4 linked regions of the Oryctolagus cuniculus genome follow. The protein of the gene in region 3 purifies or fractionates together with the protein of the main gene of each other region. This does not show direct contact. Links are inferred from orthologs where the notes say so. Each region holds a gene or a part of one and is shown on either strand. Other genes may lie near its edges.

What was found.
Region 1: the proteins of MTOR (region 3) and SQSTM1 purify together in Homo sapiens (affinity purification with western blotting; 4 studies listed by BioGRID, with this or other methods). This does not show direct contact. The link is inferred for Oryctolagus cuniculus from reciprocal best matches to the Homo sapiens genes MTOR and SQSTM1.
Region 2: the proteins of MTOR (region 3) and FBXW7 purify together in Homo sapiens (affinity purification with western blotting; 9 studies listed by BioGRID and IntAct, with this or other methods). This does not show direct contact. The link is inferred for Oryctolagus cuniculus from reciprocal best matches to the Homo sapiens genes MTOR and FBXW7.
Region 4: the proteins of MTOR (region 3) and AKT1S1 purify together in Homo sapiens (affinity purification with western blotting; 8 studies listed by BioGRID and IntAct, with this or other methods). This does not show direct contact. The link is inferred for Oryctolagus cuniculus from reciprocal best matches to the Homo sapiens genes MTOR and AKT1S1.

What each region holds. Positions count from the first base shown.
Region 1 is NC_091437.1:67,651,768-67,659,219, reverse strand, and holds the start of SQSTM1 (sequestosome-1), read left to right. Parts: upstream 1-3,461; 5' UTR 3,462-3,822; coding exon 3,823-4,264; intron 4,265-6,426; coding exon 6,427-6,522; intron 6,523-6,838; coding exon 6,839-7,065; intron 7,066-7,162; coding exon 7,163-7,304; intron 7,305-7,452. UniProt on the Homo sapiens protein: Molecular adapter required for selective macroautophagy (aggrephagy) by acting as a bridge between polyubiquitinated proteins and autophagosomes.
Region 2 is NC_091439.1:12,127,542-12,134,524, reverse strand, and holds part of FBXW7 (F-box/WD repeat-containing protein 7), read right to left. Parts: intron 5,883-6,983; exon of another isoform or gene 5,833-5,882; intron 5,196-5,832; coding exon 4,629-5,195; intron 1-4,628. UniProt on the Homo sapiens protein: Substrate recognition component of a SCF (SKP1-CUL1-F-box protein) E3 ubiquitin-protein ligase complex which mediates the ubiquitination and subsequent proteasomal degradation of target proteins.
Region 3 is NC_091438.1:157,192,181-157,198,273, forward strand, and holds part of MTOR (serine/threonine-protein kinase mTOR), read left to right. Parts: intron 1-3,093; coding exon 3,094-3,174; intron 3,175-3,423; coding exon 3,424-3,504; intron 3,505-5,469; coding exon 5,470-5,575; intron 5,576-6,093. UniProt on the Homo sapiens protein: Serine/threonine protein kinase which is a central regulator of cellular metabolism, growth and survival in response to hormones, growth factors, nutrients, energy and stress signals.
Region 4 is NC_091449.1:7,694,041-7,701,516, reverse strand, and holds the start of AKT1S1 (proline-rich AKT1 substrate 1), read right to left. Parts: upstream 4,640-7,476; 5' UTR 4,173-4,639; coding exon 3,934-4,172; exon of another isoform or gene 3,271-3,933; intron 2,471-3,270; coding exon 2,085-2,470; intron 1,085-2,084; coding exon 1,007-1,084; intron 936-1,006; coding exon 766-935; intron 239-765; coding exon 95-238; 3' UTR 1-94. Other genes in the region: TBC1D17 (TBC1 domain family member 17), read left to right, coding at 5,128-5,148, 5,582-5,680, 5,786-5,860, 6,635-6,758, 7,064-7,271. UniProt on the Homo sapiens protein: Negative regulator of the mechanistic target of rapamycin complex 1 (mTORC1), an evolutionarily conserved central nutrient sensor that stimulates anabolic reactions and macromolecule biosynthesis to promote cellular biomass generation and growth.

The sequences.
Region 1 (7,452 bases), on a different chromosome or scaffold from region 3:
GGGATCTTACACACAGGACCCGGCGCTGGGCCTTAGTCCTCCCTCTCCCTTGCTAGGCTGCACACCCCAGCAGTGCTCCCAAAGGGTCTGGGTGAGGATTTTTTTTTTTCCAAAGAAATCTTTTATTTAAGGTATACAAACTTCATGCATTTCCTAAGTACAACTTTAAGAACATAGTGATTCTTCCCACCATACCCACCCTCCAACCCACACTCCCACCTCCTCCCCCTCCCTCTCCCAGTCCCATTCTCCACTAAGATCCATTTTCAGTCAACTTTGTACACAGAAGACCAACTTTATACTAAGTAAAGAGTTCAACAATTTGCACGGAAAAAAAAAAAAAGCTGTTCCTCAACAGTCAAGACAAGGGCTGTTCAAAGTCATTATTGCATCTCAAAGTTAATTTCACTTCTTTTTTTTGAAACCTATCTTTAAAGAAGCCAGGGTGAGAATGTATTGGGAGAAGCATCCGCTGCCAAGCATCCGCTGCCCGGCGGCCTCCCAGTGCGGGCAGCCCAACCCCCCAGCGGCGGGGCAGAGGCTCGGGTGCGCCCAGCCCTAGTCCCTTGGCATCCCCCAGCCCCGCAGCCAGCTCTCCCCTTGGGGGCTTCCTCCACCTTCCGCCTCAAGGCTCACAAGAGTGAGGTCCAGAGCCTAGGGCTTTGCCCAGAGGGGCGGCCAGGGAAGCCCCCAAGGGGTCACTTAGGGCGGGGTGGGGGTGGGGGCTACCTTGCAGGCCAGGGGAAGAGCTAGGGAAGAGTCTCCAGGCGCCTGGAGTTGACACGATTAGGGGGCGGGGCAGGGGTGTGGCTGAGAGGTGGGGAGAGGCTGCCGCGAAGCCCCAGAGACCACATCCCCACAGAGTAAGGGGGTCCGCAGGGGCTCTGCCCTCCATGACCCTCAGCCTGTGGAAGAATGACCCAGAGCAGCCGCTGCGCCCTAAGAAAAGAAGCGGGACTTCAGAAACCCTTGCTAAGGGCTGGGACTGTTTGGGAAGGAAGCAGGGGAGAACCAGGGAGGTGGTGACAACTAGCAGACAGCAGCAGAGTCCTGTGGCCGCTCCGCTCTGCTCCCAGAACCCCCCGAACCTCCGGCTTACACCTCCAAGGATGGCAAAGCGTTAGCACACCTGTGGGACGCGGCCGCGGAGGGGCAGTGCCAGCTCTCCCAGGCGGCCCCATTTCGGGGATAAGGACAACTGAGTCCGGTCGCGTGCCCGGAGGTGGTCCGCTGACGCAAGCGCCAGGCTCTCCCCGCGCCCTGGACGTGGACTCACAGGAGGCTGGGGGTGTGGGGGCTCCCTGCACCTAGGGGAGGGGGATGACGTCAGAGGTCGGAAAGGGGCCAGGACCGTTTGGTGTTCTGGGGCCCGTCCGGTAGGCGGTCACCGAGACGAGCGAAGGGCCGGGGATCCCCCTGTTGTGACGGCGGGTCATGGGACGCTGACTCACCGCGGGCCGGACCACCTGACCCTGCGGAGGCAGCCTGAGAGGGCCCTGGCAGGGGGTTCCCCGGCCCGCCGGCCACCGCCTTGTTTACCTCCGCGCCGGCTCGAGAGGGCGCCCCGCCCCTCGCAGCAGCAGGGCATGCTGGGAAGGCCCGCTGGGTAGGGGTCTCCAGCCCGGCTCCCCGGGGTCCCATTTCCAGTCCCCCCTCCCCCCAGGCTCTGCACCCTTCGCTGGGAAGCCCCGCTCGGTTCCAAACGGGGCCAAACCGCGAGAGAACGAAGGTGTTCCTGGCGGCGGCCTGGTGGGCTCCGGTGTCCTGGCGGGGGTGGGGGATGCAGGAGGAGGGCGGCCCCTGGAGCGCTCCCTGACAGCCCTGGTCCACCTGAGGCCGCCTTCAGACCCAGGGGAGCCGGGCGGCCCACCCCTGGGCTCCGTGGCGCTCGGGCTGCTGTTGCTGAGTCACGCTTGGCTGGCACCTGCCGCAGGCCGAAGCCTCTGCCCAGCACGCCCCTCACTGGCGGGACTCCCGACCCTGTGTTGGGGCAGAGGGGCCAGCAGGCCCAGGGACACTTTCCCAAGGCTCACAGCGGCAGGGATCATGGACCAGCCTCTCCAAGGCTGCTCCTGGCACGGGAGCCTGGCTGGCTTCGCTGGGCAGGATCCCGTTACTCCTGTGGCCTGGCCACCTGTGCATCTGCCTAACCCCCATCCAACCAGCCCACCCTCATCGCTGGGCTTCCCAAGCTGCTCCCACAAACTTGACCTGAAAGGGGGGGGGTTTGACCCAACAGGGCTGACTCTTAGTCACAGGACCTGCCTGGGAGGTCTGGGGGGGGGGGTGACACACCTCCCTTCCCAGCGCCTTCCCCCAGGCCTTGCAGACAGGTCACTTTGGTCCCAGGAAGCAGAGTTTCTGGATTCCCAGCTGAAAGGTGACTGGTCCCATCCCCTTGGCCGCCCTTGTGGCCAACACTCTTGAGGCCCTACAGGCAGGCACCTGCTGCATTGGCCCCCTGCCCTGACAGGTCTGTTAGGCAGCCTGCATCTGTGAGAGGGAAGAAATGGGAATTTGTGTGGCTGGGTGAGGGAAGAACCACAGAAGCAAGCCTGGGAAGCAGAGCAGTATTTACATCTCAAAAGTCTTAGTTTCAGGTGGGGCCAGTGCTGTGGCGCAGCAGCTGAGCCTTCACCTGCAGCGCCGCATCCCATTTGGGCACCGGTTGTGTCCCGACTGCTCCTCTTCTGATCCAGCTCTCTGCTATGACCTGGGAAAGCAGTGGAGGATGGCCCAAGTCCTTGGGACCCTGCACCCACGTGGGAGACCTGGAAGGAACTCCTGGCTTCGAAGTAGTTCAACTCTGGCTGTTGCAGCCATTTGGGGAGTGAACCAGCAGAGGGAAGACCTCTCTCTTTATCCAAAACTCTGCCTGTAAAATAAATAAACACATTTTTAAAAAAAGAGCCTTGGTCTCCTTCTATAACCTTGTTGAGTGGGTCCCAGCCTTTTCCCAGGGGCAGCTTAGAGAAATCCCTGCCCTGCATTGGGGGGGTGTGTGTGTGTGTGTGTGGCTATTAGGTCCAATAATACTGCTGATGAAGTTCTGGGAGGAATTTCAGGAATTCCACACTCTGGAAGCCCTTCCCCCAGACGTGTCCCAGAAGGGGAGGGGAGGGGAGAGGAGAAAGAGGGCTATACCCGTATCCATAGAAACCCCAGTCTGAAAGCAGGTGGGTTCAGCTCTTGATGGAGATGCCCGCCTACTCTGTCAGGTGCATTCTTTTCATCAGACTTGGCCAGCACGCTTGCTGCTATTCTGTCCCATGGCTGAAGTTCTTGTGCTAAAACAAGGACCCCTGATCAACCATTCCTGGTGATGGTGAGGAAGGGCCTGGGGCGTCAGGCTCAGCCTGCTGGGCTCACAGGGCTGGGGGCGTCCATGTGTCTTTTTGAGCTGCAGTCAGCACTTGGTGACTGACTGCCGTCGCTAGTGGACGAGCCGGCCAGCCGGCCCTGGACAGCTAGGGACGCTCATGCAGGAGGCTGTGGTTGGTGTAGGGCTGCCTTCTGGGGGTCACGCATGGCAGGGCAGCAGGGTACCCTAGCAGCCAGCTGGTTCCGGCTGGTGGTGCCCACTGGGCAGCCTAGATGCCTCCTGGGATAGAGGGCTCTGTGTGTCCTCCTCTGTCCTGTGCTGGGCAACCCCTGCTGATGACCAGGGACCTGCTCTGCTGAGTCACAGCCAGGCCCAAGCCGGAGAGGGGCCTCGGACAGGACCCCAGCCCATTCCTTTCAGGAGGTACAGATGCTGAGGCCTGCTCTGGGGGTCTCCGGTGCCCTGGGGGCAATGAGGGGACAGACTGAGAGCGGTAGACCATGTCAAAGGGCAGCGGGGAGAGGGGCAAGCAGGCACGGGGCCCTGGCAGGGAGACTCGCGAGAGGCGGCCCCGGCGGTGGGGGGCGGCACCCGAAGAGTGCAGGCTCCGCCCCCAGGAGTCCACGTCGGGCGGGGCTTCCGCGTGCCCTACAAAAGCCACGCGCCACTGGCGCCACCGCCGCCGCCTCCTCCGGTGCTCCCTCGGTTGCGCAGCTGCTCGTCGTTCTCCGGCTGCGATGGCGTCGCTCACCGTGAAGGCCTACCTCCTGGGCAAAGAGGAGGCGGCGCGCGAGATCCGCCGCTTTAGCTTCTGCTTCAGCCCGGAGCCGGAGGCCGAGGCCGAAGCAGCGGCCGGCCCCGGGCCCTGCGAGCGGCTGTTGGCCCGGGTGGCCGCTCTGTTCCCGGCGCTGCGGCCCGGCGGCTTCCAGGCGCACTACCGCGGTGAGCGGGCCGGGGGGTGGCCGGGGTCCGGGGCTGCCCTTTCCTAGTCGGTGCCGGCTGCGTCGGAAGGGATGCTGTGCTGGTCGCGCTCTGGGTGAGCGGTGACCTGCGCGTACCCCACTTGCACCTCGGGTGCCAGCCCAGTGACCCAGGCCCTGTCCCTCAGGGGCCGAGGCGATCAGGCCCCGCGGGCTGGGGACTTTGGGTCGTTAGATGCTTCCTGTTCCCCGCCATAATGTTGCAGATCTCGCCAAGGACGCGCCGGGGCGTCCTCTCTGGCCCTGGGCTGAGAAGGTGGTCAGGCGGGCACTCGGGTTACACTGACATCTTGCTGCTGCCGGGGCTGGGCCCGCCGGCGCCAGGTTTGCGTTCAGCGAGCCCTGAAAGTGGGTGGTGGGCGTGGGCGGCTGGGGGACGCAGGGCCCTTGAGCCCGGGGTAGGCCGCAGGTCGCCCAGGGACAAGGCAGTGGGGAGACGGCCGATGTCGAAACGTTCTCCACAAACTCAGAGTGGGGACAAGCCCGGAGCCACCGCTCTTTCTGGCTGCGCTGCTCAGACCGGTAGCTGCTGCTGGGGGTGGGGTCCCGGGACAGCAGTGTGGGAGGGAGGTCCTCGGCCAAGGCCCGCCCCTGGGAGGGAGCAGGGCTGGGACCGCCCTCAGTAGCTTGCCCAGCATTTTTTTTTTTTTTAATTTCCTGGTGACAATTTTATTGAGCTGTAATTCACATACCATAAAATTTACTCATTTAAAGTATATAATTCAAGGGTTTAAAATTTTATTTCATTTTGAAAGGGCAGAGAGACACATACACACACACCCCAACCTACCATCTGCTGGTTCACTCCCCAATGGCTACAGCTGCCAGCCCCAGCCAGGCCAGGAGCCTGAACTCCATCAGTGTCTCCCAGGAGGGTAGCAGCAACCCAGGCACTTGAACCATCCTTTGCTGCCTCCTCCAGTGCACATTAGCAGGAAACGGGATCAGAAGTGGAGTGGCCTGGACTCCAACCAGGCACTTTCATATGGGCTGCCAGTGTTCCGGGCTGCCAGTTAGCCGCTGCAGAAATGCCTGCCCCGATGCAGTGGTCTTTAACACATTCACCAGTTGGAACTTCTGAGCAGACTTGGGGCTGGAGAGCGGGGCCAGGCGCTGGCAGTCAGCATGAGAACCCCTTCCTCTCCACTGGAACCCCATGCCTTTTACCTGTCTCCCTCAGCTCCTGCAACGCTGAGCTGCTTTCTCTCCTGGGCGTCCTCTTCTGGACAGTGGTGGAGAGGGGGTTGTACAGTTTAGCTTTGTGTCTGGCTTCTTTCCTTAGGGAAATGCGTTCAGGTTCATCAGAGGTGTAGGCTGCATCTGTATTCGTTTCTTTTGTGGATATGCCATATCGTGTTTGTGTCATTAGTTGATGGACTTTTGGGTTGTTTCGCAAAAGTGCCACTCTTGCTCTGAGGGTAGATGTTGCCCTCTGGTGCCCAAGTCCAGGCCCCGCCTGCAGCCTGTGCACGGTGCGGTCTGGTCTGGTCTGTGTGGCAATGCTTTAAAATCACGGAAGCCAACATAGAAGGACTCAGCCTTTTTTCTTCGTTGGAGAAAGCAGCAGGCCTCTGGGCTCATCTCCACTTAAACATTGCAGACAGCCCAGAGCCTTTGGCGGGCTGGGCCTCTGAGGGACAGGGCACTGTTATTGTCCGTGTAGTGTACGCGGAAACTTTGCCTTTTAGGTGTGACCGTGGCCCAGGTTCAGGCCCAGGCGGGCACACTTCCTGTCCAGTGAATGGGCAGGCTCCCTTCTTATCCCCGATCTGTCCAGCCCCACCCCTAAAGAAGTGGCCTTGGTGGGCATCAGGCCTAGTGGTTAGTTCACCCATTAAGATACCTGGGGCCCGTGTTGGATCCCAGCTCCCGACTCCAGCTTCCTGCCAGGACAGATGCTGGCAGGGGGTAGGTGAAAGTTCAAGTAATTGGGTCCTCACCTCCTACATGGGAGCCCTGGATTGAGTTCCTGGCTTCTGCCCAGCCCAGTCCCGGCCCTTGATAGGAGCTCTGCTTGTCTACCATGTCTCAAAAATAAATAAGAAGGTGGCAAGTTGAGTATTGAGGCCACCAGTGCTCCTTTGGCCCCCGCTGCGGTGCTTACGTGCTGCGTTGACTCTCTAGATGAGGACGGGGACCTGGTCGCCTTCTCCAGTGATGAGGAACTGACGATGGCCATGTGCTACGTGAAAGATGACATCTTCCGTATTTATATTAAAGGTAAGGGAATAGGGGAGCTGGGTGCTCCCCACTGGGTAAAACAGGCCCTGACTGTCCTCTGCAGGCAGTGCGGGGCGGAGGGCTCCGTGTTCCCCCGGAGCCACGGGCTTGGGCAGTTTCGGGGGTGTGGGTGAGGAGCACCACCAAAGGTGCGGACGCGGCGCCGCAGCGGGTTCCCGTGTTGCTCTGATGCTGTCTGCTGAGCCGGCTTGGGGGCTGGAGGGCGGGCCCAGCAGCTTGTAGTCCCAGCCCCACAGTGGTGCCGGAGGGGGAAGACTGCTGGGGCCTCACCCGAAGGCTCCCCACCTCCCTGCAGAGAAGAAGGAGTGCCGGCGGGACCACCGCCCGCCCTGTGCCCAGGAGGCGCCCCGCAACATGGTGCACCCCAACGTGATCTGCGATGGTTGCAATGGGCCCGTGGTGGGAACCCGCTACAAGTGCAGTGTCTGCCCGGACTACGACCTGTGCGGGGCCTGCGAGGCGAAGGGCCTGCACCAGGAGCACAGCAAGCTCGCCTTCCCCAGCCCCTTCGGCCACTTGGAGGTGAGCAGCCCCTCTCCGTGGGCCTGGGCTGGGGCTAGGGGGTGACAGGGGCTCCCGGCCTCTCACTGCCTGGTGCCTCTGCTTACTCCTCCCCCAGGGCTTCTCCCACAGCCGCTGGCTCCGGAAGCTGAGACATGGGCACTTCGGGTGGCCAGGCTGGGAGATGGGCCCCCCAGGGAACTGGAGCCCACGCCCTCCTCGAGCGGGGGAAGCCCGCCCCAGCTGCGCAGCAGAATCAGGTGAGGTTGTTGCCCCTGCTGGCTTCGGCAAGGCAGCAGTAGCCAGGCAGCCTGTGCGTGCTTTGCATCCCGAATGTCTGCGTGCCCACCTCGGTCTGCACACTTCCGAGACCTCTGCAGCATTCGGTCGGCATGAGAATCCTGCAGA
Region 2 (6,983 bases), on a different chromosome or scaffold from region 3:
CAAAAACAAAACTGTTATCTTGATCCCCTGATGGCCTAGTAATCCTTGTACCTGATTCTTCTATTGTTTAGAACCCACAAAGAGAGGCCCTTGGGCCCCTCGATTCCAATCCACTAAGACACATTATTTCTTTGAATAGATCTATTTAACAGGGCTTATTTTTTATTGGAGACAAGGAGAAACTACTTAGTTGTCAGAAGGAACCTAACAATCAGGATGGCGGAAAGCAGACTAATTTGAGGTGAGGAATGAAGTTCCATGAGAGCAGATGAAAGGCACCAAGACAATATGGAAGCATCAGAAACTAGTGCTCAAACATGCTTCTTTTCATGAAAAGATCAGGAGGATACAAGACCTACTCTAACAGTAATCTTGTTTGCTTTTCTTGTTAGTAGAAAATGGGTTTAATGTCCATCCCATGGACCTTAAGAGGCCCAGGAAACCATTTGGTCTGGCCCTACCATGGCAACCACAGGACCTGAAATTCAATGCATTTACAGCAGGCTAATTTTCAAGCTGATAATTTTGTATGGTCCATGAATGATGTTATAAATATCTAAGTGGCTCTTGGACGAAAAATGGCTCCCCGCATCTGCTCTAAGTCAAGTTTTCTGCAGTGTAAGCTGAGCACCTCTGTCTGTTGTGACAAGGAGAGAAGCAAACTGGCTCTCAAATTTACAGACATTCTAATGAATTTATAGAGAACTAGCCAACACACAATCCTGGCTAAGAAGCATAGTTAACAGAATCTAGTGAGAGTGAGTTCTGTTACCCAGTTGCAGATTTCTTTGTTTACACTATCATTTCTTCCTGTTACAACTTTACCCTCAACTGTCACATCCTCAATAAAAATATTTTGTTTAGTAATGTTTGCCAAGTTCCACCATAGGGGGCAGCATAGCACATGAAAAGAAGAAAATTTTTTGAAATTCTGCACAACAAAATCTCTCATAATTTATGGTATGATTTGGGATGAATCATTTGGACTCTCTATTTACCTGTGTGTCACAGGAACTTGTACAGTATGGGCTTAACAAATGGCAAATCTTGCTTCTGATGCTTCTGCTTCTTCTAAAATTGGTTCCAGAGTCAGTGAAAGACAGACGGAAAAATCATTCACTGGCTCACTCCCCAAATGCCAGTAACAGCCAGAGCTGGGCTGGGCTCAGCTAGGCCTGGCAAGGTTGATGTTAGGAGCTGAGAACTGAATTCAGGTCTCTCATACAAGTGGTAGGGACTCGAACACTTGAGCCATTACTTGCTGCCTCCCAGTGTATGCACAGGCAGGAATAAGGAATTAGAAGCCAGGCCTATGGCCGTACCACCCTGAACACGCATGATCTCATCTACCTCAGCAGCTAAGCAGGGTCGGGCCTGGTTAGTACTTGAATGGAATCAGAAGCCATAATAAGGCACTGAATCCACGTACTTGAAAAAGGGACAGGGCGTCTTAATGAGTATCTTAACTGCTCAACCAAACACTCGTCCCTAAACAGCAATTCCTAACGACCATTACTCTTGACTTTTAATATTAGGACAATTGGATTTTCTAATATTTACTGTTTGCTATGGGCTCCCATAAGAATAAACCTTTAGGGGGCCAGTGTTGTGGTGCAGTGAGCCTGGCTGACACCTGCAATGCTGGCATCCCGTATCACAGTGCCAGCTGAAGTTCTAGCTTCTCCAGCTCTAATCCAGTTTCCTGACTGATGAGCCTGGTGAGGCAGCAGAAGATACCTTCCCCTGCCACCCAAGTGGGAGATGCAGATGGAGCTCCATCTGCTGACTTTGGTCTGGACAAGCCCTGGCACATCTGGGGAGTGAACCAGCAAATGGAAGATCTCTCCCTGTCACTCTCCCCATCAGATAAATAAATCTTTAAAAAAAAAAAATATATATATATATATAAAATTACTAGGGTTAAAAATACTGTGCTCAGAATTTTGAGTTTTCAATGTTTTCAGAGAAGAAACAAATGCAAGTTAGAGCCAATATCTTTTTCATTGACATCATATTTGCATAAGAAGCATATTCAGGAGTAATGTATATGTCTAGCTGTCCAAATTTTTTTTTTTTTTTTTAAGAAAACTGCCAGAGGGCCGGCGCCATGGCACACTAGGTTAATCTTCCAGCCTGCAGTGCCGGCATCCCATATGGGTGCTGGTTCTAGTCCCGGTTGCTCCTCTTCCAGGCCAGCTCTCTGCTGTGGCCCGGGAAGGCAGTGGAGGATGGCCCAAGTGCTTGGGCCCCTGCACCCGCATGGGACACCAGGAAGAAGCACCTAGCTCCTGGCTTCAGATCGGCATAGCTCCAGCTGTAGCAGCCATTTGGGGGGTGAACCAACGGAAGGAAGACCTTTCTCTCTGTCTCTCTCACTGTCTATCTGTCAAATAAAAAAAAAAAAAAAAGAAAGAAAGAAAAGAAAAAGAAAAGAAAATGACCTGGAATCAAATACCACAGTCTGAATTTTATTCCAAGTATCCTAGAGAGCCTTTGAAGGATTTCAAGTGCAGCCACTGGGTAGCCAGCTCGAATGCTGGTGCAGGGCTCAATGCTGGCCCGGGAGTGCAGTGGAGGATGGCCCAAGTGCTTGGGGCCTGCACCTGCATGGGAGACCAGGAGAAGCACCTGGCTCCCGGCTTCGGATTGATGCAGCTCTGGCCGTTGTGGCCATTTGGGGAGTGAACCAATGGAAAGAAGACCTTTCTCTCTGTCTCTCTCTCACTGTCTGTAACTCTACCTGTCAAATAAATAAATAAAATCTTAAAAAAAAAAAAAAAAGAAAACAGCCAGAAAGTAAAATTTGCAAAGTATGTTGTGTAATACTGTAGAAAGTCAATCCTATATTTACATTTAAAAATGGTATTTTTAAGATGATTCTTATGTTTCTACTCTTTCCTAAAGTGAAGACTTAAATAAGCTGCCCTACAGCAAGATCTGTAGAAGTGTCTTATGTTTATAATGATCAAGAATTCAAAGCTCTTCCAAAACAAAGTACTTGAAATAGTGAGAGTTTCTTTTTTCATTTCCAGAGATTTATACATGGGGTGACTGACACTTTCTTCTTAAGCAATGCAGTAACAGATGACTTTAAGTGTTGTTGAAAAATTACATACTCCGGGAACAATCCTGAAGAAGAGTTTCAGGAATGAACGAAAAAGAAAAGACAAGTCAGTTTCAGGCTGAGATCCTACTTTGAAGAAGGGCACTAGTGCTTTGCAATGCAGAAGCTTTCTATTCTCTGTGCCATACGTATGAAGGCAAATGACCTCATGATAAACAATGTACCAAAAGTGTGTACACTGCTGGTTTCCCGATCCACTCCTGTTGTCTTGTATGTACAAATACTTGTTAATAATAATAGAATCACTAGGAAAAACTACCATAAAGTCAGTATACATTGTTTATTAAAATACAGCTAAGTTATACTTATGATTTCATCCTGAGTGTAAAGAAAAGGTAAGTCTGTATAACATTTTTCAACAGAATATTATGATGTAGGAAAAAGATACAGTTTGTCTAGTCACTTTTTCCTAGGAGAAATCAGTGACCGCCTCAGCCAGGCTGAGGTGTGACTGGACTCCTTCCTTAGATAACATCACACAACTAAACCCCACTCCCAAGCCCTAAGGAAAAGAAGGGGGGAAGAAAGGGCGTATCTGCGTGTGCGTGTGTGTGTGTGTGCGTGTGTGTGTAAATGGCCTCTTTTGATACAGCAATTTAACAAAGCTAGATCCAGACTGGGGATGAAAGCTGGGGATATTACGCTATGTATGATCTCAGCTTTACTAACAAACAGGACTGGAGCTGTTAGCAGGGCATGTAACTTGCAGATAGGCCAGGGAATTCAGGCGTAAATATGTTTTAGAAGGAATTTTAAAAGCTGAAGTGATGATTCAGCAATGCAAGCATTAATTTACATGTGTAAAATACTTAAAGGAGATGATGTTAAAACTGTACATTATTTATGGGCCAAATCAATGATTCACTGTAAAATTAAAAACCAAGCAAACAAGAGTGAGTGGATGGACCATCAGAAACATTATTCATGTTAGTGTCTGCAAAACTATTACTCAAGTTAAAATGTTCATTTCCAAAGTACACTTTAACTCAGTAAGTCTAATCAACACAGACAGTCAAGATTTGTATATAATTTTCGAATCACAAATAAAGAACCAGAACCAATGTGAGGCAACTTCCAGTAGCATGTGTTGGAGAAACACCAGCGTACAGCCCACACAGCAGCTGCACTTTGGCAGTGAAAGAGTCTTCATTACTTGATTTACACAGATCACGTTTCGCCTCAACTTTCCTCACCCCACACGACCTGTTCCCACACAACCCACTAACGCTTGCCCTGGGAGCACAGTTTAGAAGGAATTTGATGTGAACCATTTTTCACTGTAACAGGATCAATTACCTTTCTCCATTTAAAATAAGTTTGTGCCAGTATTAGTATTTCTATCTGTAATACTTTCTAATACCTTTGTAAAACAAAAGCAGTTCCTTTTATTATTACACATGCTAAGATTAGTTTGCGATAATACAAAAACTGTAAGGAAAGTTCTACGACAATTAAAATAGATACACAAAGTATCTCAAGTTAATAGGAGATGGAATACACTCACTTTTGTTGTCTTTGTATAGAATGAGGAGGAGAGTTGGTGAATGGGCAGGTCCACAACACTACTGGAATTTGTGACACTGTTACTATGTGTATGTTCATCTTCACGGCTACTGTCATCAGACTGATCAAAGTCATCACTCTCCTGGTCCATCTCCTCTTCCTCTTCATCCTCCTCCTCTTGCTCACCAGCATGTTCTTCATCCTCCTCTTGCTCTGGGTTTCCTGAGGAGTCCTCATCTACTGAAATAAATCGATTATTGTTTTCTTCCAAGGGTCCTTGCTGGGAATCATTTTGGTCTCCAGGTCTAAGTTCAGCTCCAACAACCTCACCATTCCTTGCAGTGTGTTCCTCCTCTGGTCTCAGCTGCTGCTGCTGCGGGCCCTCCTCGACCACGCGGTTCATCTGCTCCTCATCTGCCTGGCTTGAGGAAGGGTTGCCTCTCAGAGAGCCTCCACTTCGTCGTCTTTTGCTGCCCACAGAGAGCAGTTCCTGATTCATTTCCAAAAGCCAGCTTGCTACTTCTTGGACCTTGGCCAAACTATCACAAGATGCAAAGGTTTTCACATTCTGCAGGGGAAAATGGGGAAAAACAGGTTTGTACAATCTCCAATTTCTTTTACCTTTATGTTTCATGCTTATAGTCTAAATATCATAAAGAATGCAAAGAGTATTCAGTGCCATGGAGGCATCAAGATGTTCTTCAGTAATCAATATAGAAAGTTGATATTATAAAATTATAAAAGTTATGAGGCTTTATAAAGACATACACATAAATACAGTAAACAGCTTTATTTTAATATGCTTCTTTTAATAGTTCTTTATAGTTTGTTTCAACAAATAAAATATAACTAATAAAACTAACTTAACTAATAAAATAATTTTAAGTTTTAGGTCAACAGCTCATAAACTATAGACTATGTAAAACTTTGACAAAGTGTTAAGAAGTGTTATCACCAAAAAAAAATTATTCAGTGCTCAATTTCAGGAAATGCTGAGGTAAATCAACTTAACACAACCTTTTTACTCTGGAATTGTCTTAAACTTCTCTGACGACAGAATCCTGCCCTTCAGATACAGTTTTCTAACAAGGTAACAGTGATTATCATTGTGATTTTCGCTTTTCACAGTGAACATAAAGCAACTAAATAGCAAGTAAACAAAAAAAATTTTTGGGGGGGAGAGGAAAAAGTTCTTAAGTTCATACCCTCTGACCCAGTAACTCCACTTCTGGCAATCTATCCTAAGGAAGTAATCCTAAAACAGAAAAAAAATTATACAGAGGATGCTCATGGCAGCTTTATCCACAAAAGCAAAAAATAAAGGTAAAAATAAATGTAAATAAAACAAATGTTAAAGATAAAAGAAGTGATAAAATGGAATTTATTTAGCACAGTTCCTAAATATCATGTTCATTAAAATGTGGATATATATATCACATTATGTTAAGGGAAAAATGCAGGAAATTATATGATCACAGAATGATTCTTAATCTGCAGACAGCCTAGAAGATAATATTTTTAAAATAAGCTGTATTTTGAGCAGTTGTATTCTAGATGCTTTCAATTCATTTTTACCAAATTTCTCAAATTTTATACATCAAATATATTTACTTTTATGTTTCACACAGGCTCCAAAATGTTATTCAATAGAACATCTTTTCATAATGTTCATTCTGAAATTTTTTCCTTTGCTGATATCTGTGTGGACAGGTTTGAGGTTACGTAAAATAATATCAACATATTATACACATTTTTTAAAAAAGCACTCATGATCTAAAACTTAAAACTGCCAATCAGAAAAAAAATCAAAATGAAATTCTGTTTTCCCAGAATGCATACTTGTGCTTTTAAAATTAATTCTTCGAGAAAAATTCTGTGTGACTTAGAAGATGGTCACATAAAACACAAACATCAGCAAACAGATTCCTATTATCTTAAAAATCAATATAAAGTTGCTATTTCTTCTTACCAACAGAAGTACATAATGTCAAAACATATGAAATAAATAATGTATGCTTTTATTGATAATTAATGAGATTAAATTCAAGTTTAGTAAAAATAAAATCTGATGGCTATATGTTGATGTTAATTGCACTATTTCCTTAGCAATTGGATGTGAAGAGAACGAAAACAGTTCACAGTCAGGAATATCACTGATAATCAAAGAAAGTTCCTTTCTTATTTACATTGAAAATGTTCCTCACTTCACACACCAGGCAATCAAGGCTCAGAGATAAGACTGCTGGCTTGAAGCAAAGCACACCCAAGAACCTGACACTCAAACTGCGTCTTCCTTCATGTCTCTCAGTCTGCAAGAATCACGTATAATAAACTACCAAAAGAATATTATTCTCTC
Region 3 (6,093 bases):
ATGCCCTTTAGTGGTGTCTGGTGTGCATATTTTTTAACAGCATCTCTGTGGTCCTCAAACACTGCTGATAGCTCAGAAGTGAGGGGCAGTGGGAACATGCTCTCACGTCGCCGGAGCCCTGAAGTCACATGAGATGTTGTTTCCAGGAGTTTGCTTCATGGAGCAAGGTCCCTCAAAGAGCCAGAACCCTCTCCATGTCTTGACAGGCTCAGAATGTTGGGGCAGAGCTTTGAGCTTTGTTTAGCTCCCCCGACCCGATTCCTTGTAACGCTCGTGGCCTCCTGCCTGGGTCAGACTTTGGAAAACGCCATTGAGATGTTGAGATGCGGAAAGCAAGCTTTCTCTCAGATACGGAGGGAGCACGTACAGCTGGCTCCTCACCAAGCCACACTGCGTCTCGAGATGCAGAAAGGAAAGGTGAGCTAGGAGGTCCCCACGAGGAAGCCCGGAGTCCGATCGCAGCACTGACGCCGATGTGCGTGAGACGGCGGGGAGCAGCACTCTGCGTGTGCGCCATGCCCGGGAGGGACGGCTGCAGGAGCTGGGCTGAGGGGCGTCCCCTCTGACTTGTACTCAGGGGGCACTTGGGCTGGGAGCACTTCACCACCACCTACCAGACACGGGGAAGGTTCCCTGATTGGAGGCATGGAATCTGGATGGGTAGGGGGAAGGGTGCTTCCTGGGTTATAGTGTCCTACAGGGACGCCGGGATGGGATCTGGGAAGACCTCACTCGCCGAGGCTCCTGGGTAGCTCCAGGCATGCTGAGACCCGCTGGTCTCTTTCTCATGACCCAGCTCAGGAATGTTACGGAGTGACTCCTTATGCTGTCTGCAGTGTGCATGGAAGAATTGGGACAACCCGTTCTGGTGGCACCAGATGGTGGGGGACCCGTTGTTTTTAATGTAGCTTAAAAGTTAAGTTCCAGGGCCGGTGTTATAGTGCAGCGAGTTAAGCTGCCGCCTGCGTGGCATCCCATATTGGAGTGCCAGTTCAAGGCCTGACTGCTCCAGTTCTGATCCAGCTCCTGCTGATGCACCTGGGAAAGCAGTGGAGGATGATCAGAGTAACTTGGGACCCTGCCAGGTTGGAGCTCCTGGCTCCTGGCTTCAGCCTGGCCCAGCCCTGGCCGTTGGGGCCATCTGGGGAATGAACCAGTGGATGGAAGACCTCTGAAGACCACAGTCAGTGGTGGGAGACCCCAACATCTGAGGACATTGTCTACCCAGAATGGATAGCAGGTTTCTCTAAGAAATAGCACTTCAACCACGTGTATAACCCATTGCCAAGCTGATTGTGTTGACATTATTGTCCATTTTTATCCAGCAAGATCTGTTTGGTCACCAAACCTTTGACCTTTACTCCATTCTCTGTCAGAACATTTTATTAATGCTATTTGCTTGGAAATTCATGTTTTATTTCTGATAAATACCATATTCTTCAATTATAATAATTCACATTTAAATATGGCTTTTAGATTTAAAAACTTCTAAATTTACAGAGAGTAACACAAAGCTGCCTCTGTCCTTTTCCATTTGAGGTAGGTAAGGCAGGTGTTAAGGGGAATACAGTACATATAAAGAATTTTTTTAAATATATATTTCACTTTTTTTAGACTTACTTATTTATTTGAAAGTCAGAATTACATAGAGAGAAGAAGAGGCAGAGAGACAGAGAGTGTGAGACAGAGGTTTTCCATCTGCTGGTTCATTCCCCAGTTGGCTGCAATGGCCAGAGCTGTGCTGATCTGAAGCCAGGAGCTTCTTCCAGGTCTCCTACATAGGTTCAGGGACCCAAGGACTTGGGCCATCTTCTGCTGCTTTCCCAGGCCACAGCAGAGAGCTGGATTAGAAGTTGAGCAGCCAGGGGCCGGTGCCATGGCTCACTTGGTTAATCCTCCGCCTTGCGGCACCGGCATCCCGTATGGGTGCTGGGTTCTAGTTCCGGTCGCTCCTCTTCCAGTCCAGCTCTCTGCTGTGGCCCGGGAGTGCAGTGGAGGATGGCCCAAGTGCTTGCGTGCCTGCACCTGCATGGGAGACCAGGAAGAAGCACCTGGCTCCTGGCTTCAGATTGGCGCAACGCCGGCCGTAGCGGCCATTTGGGGAGTGAACCAATGGAAGGAAGATCTTTCTCTCTGTCTCTCTCTATCTATAACTCTACCTGCCAAAGAAAAAAAGAAGTTACAGCCAGGACTTGAACCGGCGCCCATATGGGATCCTGGCACTGCAGGCAGCAGCTTTACCCACTCCACCACAGCGCCAGCCCCAGTACATGAAGAATTAAAAGCTGGGGCCAGTGTTTTGGCACAGCAGGTTAAGCTACTTCTTGCAGTGCTGACACCCCACATTATCAGAGTGCCGGTTGGAGTCCCAGCTGTTCTGCTTCTGAGCCAGCGCCCTGCAAATGTGCCTGGGAAGACAGCAAAAGCTGGCACAAGTACTTCCCCTGCCACCCATGCAGGAGACCAGTGTTGAGGAGTAAACCAGCGGCTGAATGAGCTCTCTCTCCCCCTCACAGTCTCTCCCTCCCTCTCTCTGTTGCTCTGCCTTTCAAATAAATACTTTTAAAAATATGTATTTAAGAGGCAGAGTTACAGAAGGAAGGGGAAAAACCAAGAGTGAGTGAGAAATCTACCTGCTGATTCAGTCCCCCAAATGGCTGTTATGGCCAGGACTGGGCCAGGCTGAAGCCAGGAGCCAGGAGCTTCTTCCAGGTCTCTCACATGGGTGGCAGGGGCCCAAGGACTTGGGCCATCTTCTGCTGCTTTCTCATGCACATTAGCAGGGAGCTGGATTAGAAGTGGAACAGCCGGGACTGGAACCGGTGCCTGTATGGCAGTCAGCGGTTTTACCCACTGTGCCAGCCCCCATAAATAATATTTAAAAAGGGGGAAAAAGAGGTAGCTGGCGTTCAGACCTGCCCAGCTGCAGCCATTGCAGCCATTTGGGGAGTGAACCAGTGGATGGAAGACCTCTCTCTCCCTCTCTCTAACTCTGCTTTTCAAAAAAATTAATTTTTCAAAAAAGAAAAAAAAACTGATGGGAGTTATGGCTTGTTGGTGTTTTATTTTTCCATTAATTGATTTTCCCCCTAGAAATTTTGGACGGTGTAGAACTTGGAGAACCAGCCCATAAGAAAACGGGGACCACAGTGCCAGAATCCATTCATTCTTTCAGTAAGTTCCCCCGCGGGACGGGCTGGTGCCTGGCTTGGGAGGAGAGTCACTGCTGTGTCGCGCAGAGAGGCCACAGCGGGAAGTCCAAGTCGCACAGCAGCCTCTGAGCAGGGGCGTCTCCGCTGATCCTCTCCTGAGGACGCAGAAGACGCGGCACTGGCGACAGTGAACACTCGAGGGAAGCAGCGGAGCCCCCTGCATCCGTTGCAGTCTGATTCTTACTGTTGTTTTGACTTTTGTGTGTTCCAGTTGGAGACGGGTTGGTGAAACCAGAAGCCCTAAATAAGAAAGCCATTCAGATCATTAACAGGGTCCGCGATAAGCTCACTGGTGAGTGTGCGTGGACCTGGAATGAAGCGGGAGCAGACGGTCCTCTCCCTGCTTGGCGGTCAGGGCTGAGCGCGGACCCCGAGCGGCTCACGGGAACGCGTGCGAGGCCATGCGTTAAGCACGCTCCCTGTCTTGTGGTAACCAGTAACAGTGAAACTTGACGTTAGTCTGATCTCACTGACCTCAGGAGGTGAGTGAAGCTCATCCTGCTCCTAGGAGTGCGTTGTCCTGATTCACTCCGGAGCCACTCTGACCGCTCCGGGTCCTTGCCGCTCGGCTTTTGCCCTTTTTATTTTTTATTAATAGAAAAAGAACAGATTTCCTGAAGGTACAGTTCTCAGGATATGCAGCACTTCCCTCAGTCCCTCCCTCCCTCCCTCCTCTTTCCTTCCTTCCTTCTTTAATTGTTGTGATAACACATTTTTAATTGACCTTATAGACGCAGGCTTCGTGCTGCACTGAATACAGAGTTCAGCAGGGAACAGCAGACAGCACAGCCTGCCCCGCACGTCCCCTCTCAGGGAGGTGTCCCTGTGCTCTGTACGTTAGAGCACAGAGCACCGAGGACAGAGGCAGCATGTCCCTCCTTCCGCTCGGCGTAGTGGTCTCCGGGTGCATCCGTTTTGCTGCAGAAGACAGGATTTCATTCTTTTTTACGGCAGAGTAGCATTCCATCGTGCAGGTTTACGTCTTCTCTCTCTGGTCATCAGTTGATGTACTCCCTGTGCTTTGAGAGCTGTCACGGAGGGAAGGGGGGGGGAGACACATACTCTTGAAAAGGAGACAGCTCATGTCCGTCATCTGCCTCCTGACCAGGAGGTGATGTGACTCAGGGGTGGGACCTAGAGAAGCCAGAGACCCCCGCTCCCCCTGCAGCCTGTGACCTCGGCCCCCGCCTCGTCAGCTGGCAGGTGATGGAAAGCATCTAGGGTCTAGGTTTGCGCTGTGAAACCCCGCCTCCTGCCTGCTCTCGAGGGGAGAAGGGAGCAGAAGCAAAGCAGGACCATTGATGAGACTGGGCGTGGAGGGGGTGGGGATGGACTCTCGAGGTCTTGAGGAGGTGAAATAAAAATTAATTAATCAAAAAAAAAAAAAAAAAAAAGGATGGGCAGGAGGGCTAAGGAAGGCTCCGGGATGGCTGCAAGGCACCGGTGACTCCTGAGCGGTGTGGGGCGCAGCAGCCGGACCGCAGCAGGTGCAGAGAGCGCGAGCGCCAAGTGGTCAGGAAAGGGAGGAGCTTCAAAGGCCGAGTAGTGTGTGCCCCAGGGAGAGGGCGGGGGAGAGAAGCACCTGCCTACAAGTACGTGTGAAAGACACCGTATGATAAGAGGGAGTTTGTGCAGTTTGTGCGGTATGAAAGAAAGGACGATCAATGCCAGGAGCCACCTGGGAAAGCAGGCGGGGCCAGGTCCTCAGTGGGAGGGAGGAGGCAGCTCTCCAGGGCGGAGGACGGAGTGGGGGGGGGGAGGCGAATCCAGCCCCTCCAACACGCACTCGAACACTGGGGCCCCAGAACCCTGTGTAATGCATTAGTTGCCGGGCTGGAGATGGGGCACCTGCTGAGGGCGAGGCAGAAGGAGGGGTGTGGACATCCGGGGCTGCAGAGAGGACGTGAAGTGGTCTTGTGACATACGCAGCGGGAGGTGTTGACTTTCCAGTGGAAGCGGGCTCCCGGCATTAACACCGAGTGGGTGTTCTCCTGCACTTGTCCACCTCACAGAGGACTTTGGAATATTCTGAATCCTCCCAACCCCACTTCTGAACTAAGCCAGCTCAGGACGTGATATTCAGTGGACCAAGTCTGTGTTAGGAGAAGCAGACTAGTGAATTTTTAAATCCAGCTGCGGTGTATCCTCCACGCTGGCGTGTGAGATACGCTGACATGGGCTGCGTGGACAGCTGTGCCGGAGGACGGGGTGCGTGGTAACCAGGTGCAGATTAAAGTGTTTGTGCCTCTCCACCCAGGTCGGGACTTCTCGCACGATGACACTCTGGACGTCCCAACACAAGTGGAACTGCTCATCAAGCAAGCCACGTCCCATGAGAACCTCTGCCAGTGCTACATCGGCTGGTAAGCAGGCATCCCAGAGTACCTTGGCAACAGTGCACGGGCAGGACCCCACCCGGGCCCAGGGTAGCCGAGGAAGATTGGGTGGGGTGTCTGTCATGGGCATTTAGGAGCTCACATCTCCAGATGTCTGTTTTCACTTTGTGTGCTCATTGTTCTAACGGGAAGAAAACTGAGACATAGGCATGCACATTTGGAAGGCAAACACACACACAAAATCACAGTTAGAGATGGCGTAGGAGGACAGGCCGGGCCTGAGGAGTCCTTCTTGGATTTTTGCAGTCATTGCAATTCAGATACAGGCAAGGCCGAAGAAGCCAGAGCAGTGACAGAGAGATGAAAAGACAGATTCATGACCTAGGAGGCTCGCCTCAAGGACCAGCTGGGTGCACTTGGAGTGATTGCCTGAGGCGCGCCTGGAGGCAGCAGGAAGTGTCCGCAGGGGGTGCGCCCCCCCCCCCATGCCGAGGATGAGAGGAGGACGTGTGTGTCCCATGCAATTAGCTGTGGAAGAGCTCAGG
Region 4 (7,476 bases), on a different chromosome or scaffold from region 3:
CCCAGGCCGCGCCGGCATTGGCGAGCTCCGGGGGCGGGCCAGGGGCGTCGTGCGGGGCGGGGCGGACGCGGGACCCGGCGGCCCCTCCCGGGCCTCAGTATTTCCGCTTCAGCTTCTGGAAGTCGCTGGTGTTGAGCCGCGGCCGCGGCAGGTCCCCGAACACCTGGGTGTCGTCGGCCTCCCGCAGCACGAGCGCGCGCATGCTCGCCGCGATGCGGTCCAGGTCCGGCGAGGAGGGCTGCGGACAGGGCGACGGGTGAGGGTGCTCACCGCCTGCTCCGTCCCTGGCCCTGCCCCACGTCCCGCAGCCCTCACTCCGGCACAGGGCCTCAGATCTGAAGATCTGGGCAGGCTGCGGTGAGCCGGTGAGCCAGTGAGCCCCCCGCTCTGACAATGGGGCTGATGTGAGGTCGCGGACAGGCCATCAGCTGTCACTCCACGCTCCCATGCAGGCCTGGTGCCCCCGCAGCTCCTGGCCCCAGATGGGACCCACGTCACAGCTGGTGGACCCTGCCTGGGCCCCTACAGCCTGGGGCAGGCGGGGTCCCCGCTGTGACCTGGGCCTGCAGCTCCGGGTGGGGCCGACCTCAGGGGGCCGGGCCCTCAGTGCCCCACTCGCCCTCTGCCTGGGGTGCCCAGCCCAGATCCTGCACCCGGGGGCGCCCTGCCCGCCACCCCGCCCAGAGCGGGCCCATCTGCAGGGAGCAGCAGCCGAGGGGAGGCCTCCATCCGCGGCCACCCCTTCCCTGGCCCAGTGCCCCTCACCGGCCCGTTCTCCTCGTCCGACGACCGCGCCTCCGTCCTCTTCTCCTTGAAGGCCCAGACGGGCACGGACACGGGCAGGGACTTGGCGTACTGCTGAGTGGGCAGGGCTGAGGCCGGGGGCACTGAGTGGGCTGGGGGGCCAGCGGGGGTCTCCTCGCTGAGGCTGCCGTCTGGAGGAAAGGCGCCCGTCAGCTTCCGTCCCCGCCCTCCCGCCCCGCCCGGGAGGGGCTGCGGCACTCACCGTCCGTGCTCTCGGGGTCCGACTCACAGAAGGGGGGCAGGTCCTGGAGGGTGGCGTCCTCGTCCATCACAAACAGCCCTGGGAGGGGGCGGGCCCCGGGCCGTGAGGGCCCCGCCATCACTGTGCCCACAGCACCCACCCCAGGTCACCCCGGGGCTGAGGGCCCCGCCATCACCGTGCCCACAGCACCCACCCCAGGTCACCCCGGGGCTGAGGGCCCCGCCATCACCGTGCCCACAGCACCCACCCCAGGTCACCCCGGGGCTGAGGGCCCCGCCATCACCGTGCCCACAGCACCCACCCCAGGTCACCCCGGGGCTGAGGGCCCCGCCATCACCGTACCCACAGCACCCACCCCGGGTCACCCCAGGCCGTGAGGGCCCCGCCATCACTGTGCCCACAGCACCCACCCCGGGTCACCCCGGGGCTGAGGGCCCCGCCATCACCGTGCCCACAGCACCCACCCCAGGTCACCCCGGGGCTGAGGGCCCCGCCATCACTGTGCCCACAGCACCCACCCCGGGTCACCCCGGGGCTGAGGGCCCCGCCATCACTGTGCCCACAGCACCCACCCCGGGTCACCCCGGGGCTGAGGGCCCCGCCATCACCGTGCCCACAGCACCCACCCCGGGTCACCCGCCGGGTCCCCGGCACACGCGGGGCGCCAGCATCTGGCTGCAGTCCCGCGACACCGCTCAGCCCCACGCGGGCTCAGAGAAACCGGACGCGGCGTGACCTCCGTCTGATGGAGATGGAGTCACTCGCCCGGGGTCCCACGGCTTACTCGTGACAGGGCCAGGCTCAGAGCCAGGCTGCTGGGGGGGGCTTCCGGGGCGAGGCGAGAAGGCCGCTCTCCAGGGGCACCAGCCACGCCCCCTCCCCCAGCCTCAGCTCAGGCCTCCGATTCCGTGGCTGAACCACTAGCCCCTCGCCTCCAAGGAAGACGCCCCGGAGCTCGGCCTGTGCCAGCCCCCGGCAGGAGCTGGCATGAGGCTCAGGGCGGGTCACACGGGGCCACAGCAAGCGGCCGCGGCTCCGGGGACAGGAGGGCCCGGGACCAGCCCCCGCCTCCCCTCACCTCCATTATCGCTGACGCCGAGCCGCTCCCCAGAGGTCTCGGTCTCTGTGGGCGCGTCCTCGTCCTCCTCGTCGTCCTCCCTGGGCAGGGCAGGCCGGGGCGGGCTGGGTGCGGGACTGGGAGGCTGCGGCACTGGTGGGGGCGCTGGGGGCCGGGCGGCGGCGGCGGCCCTGTGGGCCAGGGCGATATCGTGCAGGCAGCGGCGGGCGGCCTCGGCCAGCGCCCCCCGGCCGTGGGCTGCATAGGCGCAGGGGCCCGGCCGGGGCGGCGGCGGCGGCGCCGCGGTCAGCAGCACCAGCTCCGTGCCTGTGCGGGCCCGGAAGCGCTCGGCGGCCCCCACCACAGCCTCCCACAGCTCCTCCGGGCGCCCCAACGCCATCCGCGCCCTGTGGGCCAGAGCAGGACACGGGGGAGCTGAGGCCTGGCTGCCGCAGCTCCCGTCCACCCTGGGAGCCCACCCAGGTCCCTCCCGCCAGCATCTGATGCCCAGCCGAGTGCCAGCTCTGCCTCCGCCGGGCCTGACTGTCTCCTGTGGGGTCCAGTGGGCGGGGCGGGGCAGGGGCGTTTGCAGTAAGCAGATGGGGACGTCCGGCCGCGGCTGCCACGGAGCCCACGTTCCTTGTGGCACAGCCGTCCCCCCCCACCGTGACCCCAGCCCCAGGAGGGTCCTCCCGCACCCAGGACAAGGGCCCGCCGCCCCCACGGGCAACACTGGGCTCTCCCCCCAGCTCCCCACAGCTCTTGGCCAAGCTTCCCATCGTCCTGTCGTGGACGCAACTTTCCCTCTTCCTAAACTCCTGCTTCGGGCCCCCACGTCTGAGCAACACCGTCTCCTCGCGGGGCCTGTGGTCGGCGTGACTGGGGGGCCGCTGTCTGCCCGAGGACCACCCACCGCTTCTTGCTTCCTGCAAGGCTGGAGCGGCCCCCAGAGGCCCTCCGCGATCCCCACGCCACCCAGGCCCTAGGCTCCCTGCACCGTGGGCCCTACACCAGAGCCCTGCGTCCCCGGGCAAGCAGCCTGCAGGTGCAGCTCAGGGGGTAGGGCCTGGCCCTGTCTCTGTGTCGTCAGGGACTGGGGGCTCAGGCCCAGCTGCGGTCCGGTCCGCGTGCCCCTCGCAGCTCGGCATCCCAGAGGCCAGTGGGCCTGGCCCTGCCCTGTGCCCAGACCCCTCAGCTGGGCGCTCACCGACAGCCAGCGGCCCGGGCCTGCCCAGCACCGGGGTTACAGCACCCATCGGTGAGCCGCTCATCCGGTGGGAAGTGAGGCACCGGCCCGAAGCCCCAGGGTGGGACCGGGCGGCGTGGGCAGGGGGCAGGGAGGGGCTCGCTGACCGACGGCGCGCGGCTCCCAACACCAGGGAACAGGACCTAACCGGGGGGAGCAGCGACCGAGGCCAGCAGCCAGGCCCGGGGTGCGGGCGGGGGCTCGCTCCCCAGGGAGGAGGGCGGCTGGCCAAGCCCCCCCAGCCTGTCAGACTGGAAGCGGCCCTAACAAGGGGCACGGGGCACCCCTGCGCGGGCGGACCTTGGGGCCGCCGCCCCGCGACCTCCCCGCAGCCCCCGGGGATCCAGGCCTGACCCGCTTTCCCAGCAAAACAGGAAATCCCGCCCAGGTGAGGGCCAGGGCCGGAAGTCCCGCCTTTGGGCGGGTGAGGGGCGCCCGGAGCCCCTCCAACAACCCCCTCGGGCCCGTGGACGGGGTCCGCGGCCCAGGTGAGGACCCCTGTGGGTCCGAACACCGGAAAATGAGGGTGTCCAGGCTCTGCCTAGAGTCAGACACGACGGTTCTCGCGGGCGACCCCCCTCCAGCGCTCAGCCACGTGCCGCTGGGCTAGCTCTGCCCTCTGACCTATGCAGGCCATACCACTCCCGTGAGCCGGGCGCCTTCCCGGAGCCCCTCTGCCTCAGGATGGCCAAATCCTCCCAACACCGCGGTTCACAACGCCGCCTCCACTCACGTGCCCGTAGCCAGCATGGCCGGACAGGCGCCGTCGCCGCCCTCAAAAGGCATGGCGGCGGGCTGATGTCACTTCCGGGTGACTCCCCTCCTTCCTTATCTGGCTCGCCCGAGACCAAGATGGCCGCCATGGGGTTCGATCCAGGTCCGTGGGAGTGTTGGCCACAGTGGCTAGCCCACAACAAAGATGGTGGAAATGGCTTACCAGCTTAAGCCGCTTCGAGGAGCCCTCAGAAAATATGGCCGCCCACACATGCTTACACGTGACCACGAGAAACTAGGGAGGGCGACCTAACGTTCCTCACCCTTTCTTCCACAAAGTGGAAGTGGTGCCCGTTAACGACATGGCAACCAGCCTGGCTTCACCTGCCCGTCGTGTATATGGGCTCTCTCTCCCTCTAACCTATACCCCCTCCGAAGCCAAGGCTGGCAAAGACCCAAGATGGCAGCATTTCTCGCTTCGGTTTGCCCAGCTTCAACATGGCGACTCGGCCCGCTTCGAGGGTGACTCAGGAATTCGCCTGGGACAGCTTCGGTCCTGGGGACGCCGACGGCTTGGTCCCGTCGTACCGAGTCCGTCGGCTCTCGGGCGACGCACAGCTCCTCTCACCTTCTTTGCCTTTATCCGTTCCTCTTCTCGAGCACCTCGCTACCTCGCCCCGCAGAGAGATGGAACTGCCCCGCATTAACATGGCCTCAGGCTAGCGGGTACGGCCGTGCCCTCGAGCAACATGGCACCCCTTGGCTTCGCTGCCAGTACACAGTACGAAGCAGGAAGGGGGCGGTTTCAGGGAGACACGGGGAGGAGCCCCGGATCCTCCCACTTGTTTACTTCGTGGTGAGCACCGTGACACTGAGCCTGCGCACTCTCGCTGGCCAGCTCCTCTGCTAGAGTCCGCGCCATGTGACTCGCATCCTTAGAATTCCACCCCCCCATGTCTAAAAGATGGTTTCACCCACTCCTGCTCTAGAATGCATAAGGGCGCAACCACCGTGCGGCCGTGCGGGGGAGTCTCCCTTCCGGATATGACACTACGTTGACCCGGAAAAGGAGGAGGCTGGGGCAGCAGGATCTCGACCGAGGCTATGGAGGGAGCCGGCTACAGGGTAAGCACTGGGGGCGCATTCACTCGCTTCTGCCTATGCGAAACGACCCTGTCCGGTGATCTGCCTCTCCCCAGGCCGTGCCAGGGAGGCCCGGAACTCCACAGAGCCGTGGGAACCGGGTGTGGGAAGACCCTACCCCCTAGCCCCGCCCCCGGACTCTGGGGACCTTGCGAGCTCCGCCCCTTTCGGAGCGCGCGGCCGCCCTGTGGGCGGGGCCTCCACGCGCTGACTTCCCTGGTCCGCCCCCATCGGCTCCCTTCGGGGCCCCGCCCCCGCCAGACTCGCCCCCATTGGCTCCCCCCGGACCCGCGCCCATTGGCTCCCGCCGGACCCGCCCCCACGGCTCCCTTCGGGGCCCCGCCCCCTCCAGACCCGCCCCCATTGGCTCCCGCCGGACCCGCCCCCATCGGCTCCCTTCGGGTCCCGCCCCCAGGTAGTGTTCGAGAAGGGCGGCGTGTACCTGCACACCAGCGCCAAGAAGCACCAGGACCCGGACTCGCTCATCGCGGGCGTCATCCGTGTGGTGGAGAAGGTGGGCCGGGTGGGGTGGACGCGGCGTGCAGGGGGCCCGGCCTTGAGGGCGTCCGTGGCTCCCACTCGGAGGGCTGAGCCCCGGGACCTGTCCCACTCCCCCCAGGACGGCGATGTGCTGCTGCACTGGGCCCCCGTGGAGGAGGCCGGAGACTGCACGCAGATCCTGTTCTCCAAGAAGGTCAGTGTGCTGCGCCCTGCGTGCCCTGGCACCGCGCGCTTCCCCGGGGTCCAGTCCCAGGCCTGCCCCTGGGGCCCGGGGATGCCTGGCCGGGGCCCGGGTCCTCTCGGCCTCTGGGTGAGGTGGGCCGAGGACGCCCGTTGGAGGAAGGAGAGCGGAGGCCCGCCCAGGTGCAGAGGCCACTGCCGCCGCTCGCCCCCTCCCTGCGCCCCTGTCCGGCCCCGGGCGCGAGGCTACTCAGCAGGAGGTCGGTGGGCTGTGAAGACCCGGCTTCGTAGTAAGCCCATTGGCCTCAGTGATGGCCGTCACCGCACCCAGGGGCCTCCCCCGGGGCCTGGCAGCTGCCTGAGGCTGGGCCACGTCTCTGTCGGGCTGTCTGTGAATGCCTTCTGGCGTGGACACGTTCCCCTTGTCCTGGGCACTCCCCGCGGAGCGGCGTTGCCGGGCCTGGGGAGGAAGTGCCGCACCGTGTCCCCAGCCCGGCCCTGTTGCACGTGGCCGCCTGCAGCGTGTGGGGCTCCGGCGTCCCTGTGCGCCCGCCGCCGCTGGTCCTCAGGTCTCTGGTGCTAGCTGTCCTCGTGGGCACGGGGTGTCTCCTGCCATGGCTGCCCAGCTGCCGCCTGGGCACCAGGAGCCTCGGGTTCCAGTCCTGGCTGTGCCGGGTAACCCTGGGCAAGTGCCATGCCACCTCTGTGCCTCAGTTTCCCTACGAGGCTGCGCTCATACCTAGAAGCCATGAGTCCGTGGCCCCTCACTCTCTTCCTCTGCCCCAAGGACTCCAGTGGGGGCTACTCCTGCGCCTCTGAGGAGGAGCCGACTTTTGACCCCGGCTATGAACCTGACTGGGCCGTCATCAGCACCGTGCGGCCGCGGGCCCGGCCATCGGGGCCCCCGAGAGGTGGGCCGAGCTGGAGGCTGTGGGGGCCGGGGTGGGGGACCCGTGTTCTCAGGAGTCTCTGCCCCCAGTCCCAGGAGAGAAGAGGTGGCTGGGGGCAGGGCTTGTGGCTGTGCCCAACCCCCGGGCTTCTGGGTTGGCCGTGGGTGCATCACCTGCCGAAGTCCAAGGCAGAGGGAGGCCGGGGAGCCCAGAACCGGCACACCGCCACCGGGCTCCACTCCCCAGGCAGCGGGCGGTGGCCCAGAGTCAGGAGGCTGGGGCCCGGGGCCAGCTTCCCGTGCGCCCAACGCCGTGCCGTCCCCCAGGTGCAGAGCCCGGCTCCTCCCAGGGCCCCTGGGCCTTCTCGGTGAGCCTGGGTGAGCTCAAGTCCATCCGGCGGTCCAAGCCGGGCCTCAGCTGGGCCTACCTGGTCCTGGTGACCCAGGCCGGAGGCTCCCTGCCCGCCCTGCACTTCCACCGCGGGGGCACCCGGGCCCTGCTGCGCGTGCTCAGCCGCTACCTGCTGCTGGCCAGGTGAGCCGACCCGGGGCGTCCCCTCGGGGCTGGGGAGCTGGTTCAAGGCTGGGAAACGCAGGTGGCCCCGCGGCCCCAGGAGGTAGAAGGCATCTCCCCTGCCCCGGCACCACCGCAGGCCCACCTCTCACCGGCTCGGCTCTGGGTCACTCCCCCTTGGCCAGGGAAATGGGCGCTCTCATGGGTCAGCCCTGGGCCACACACC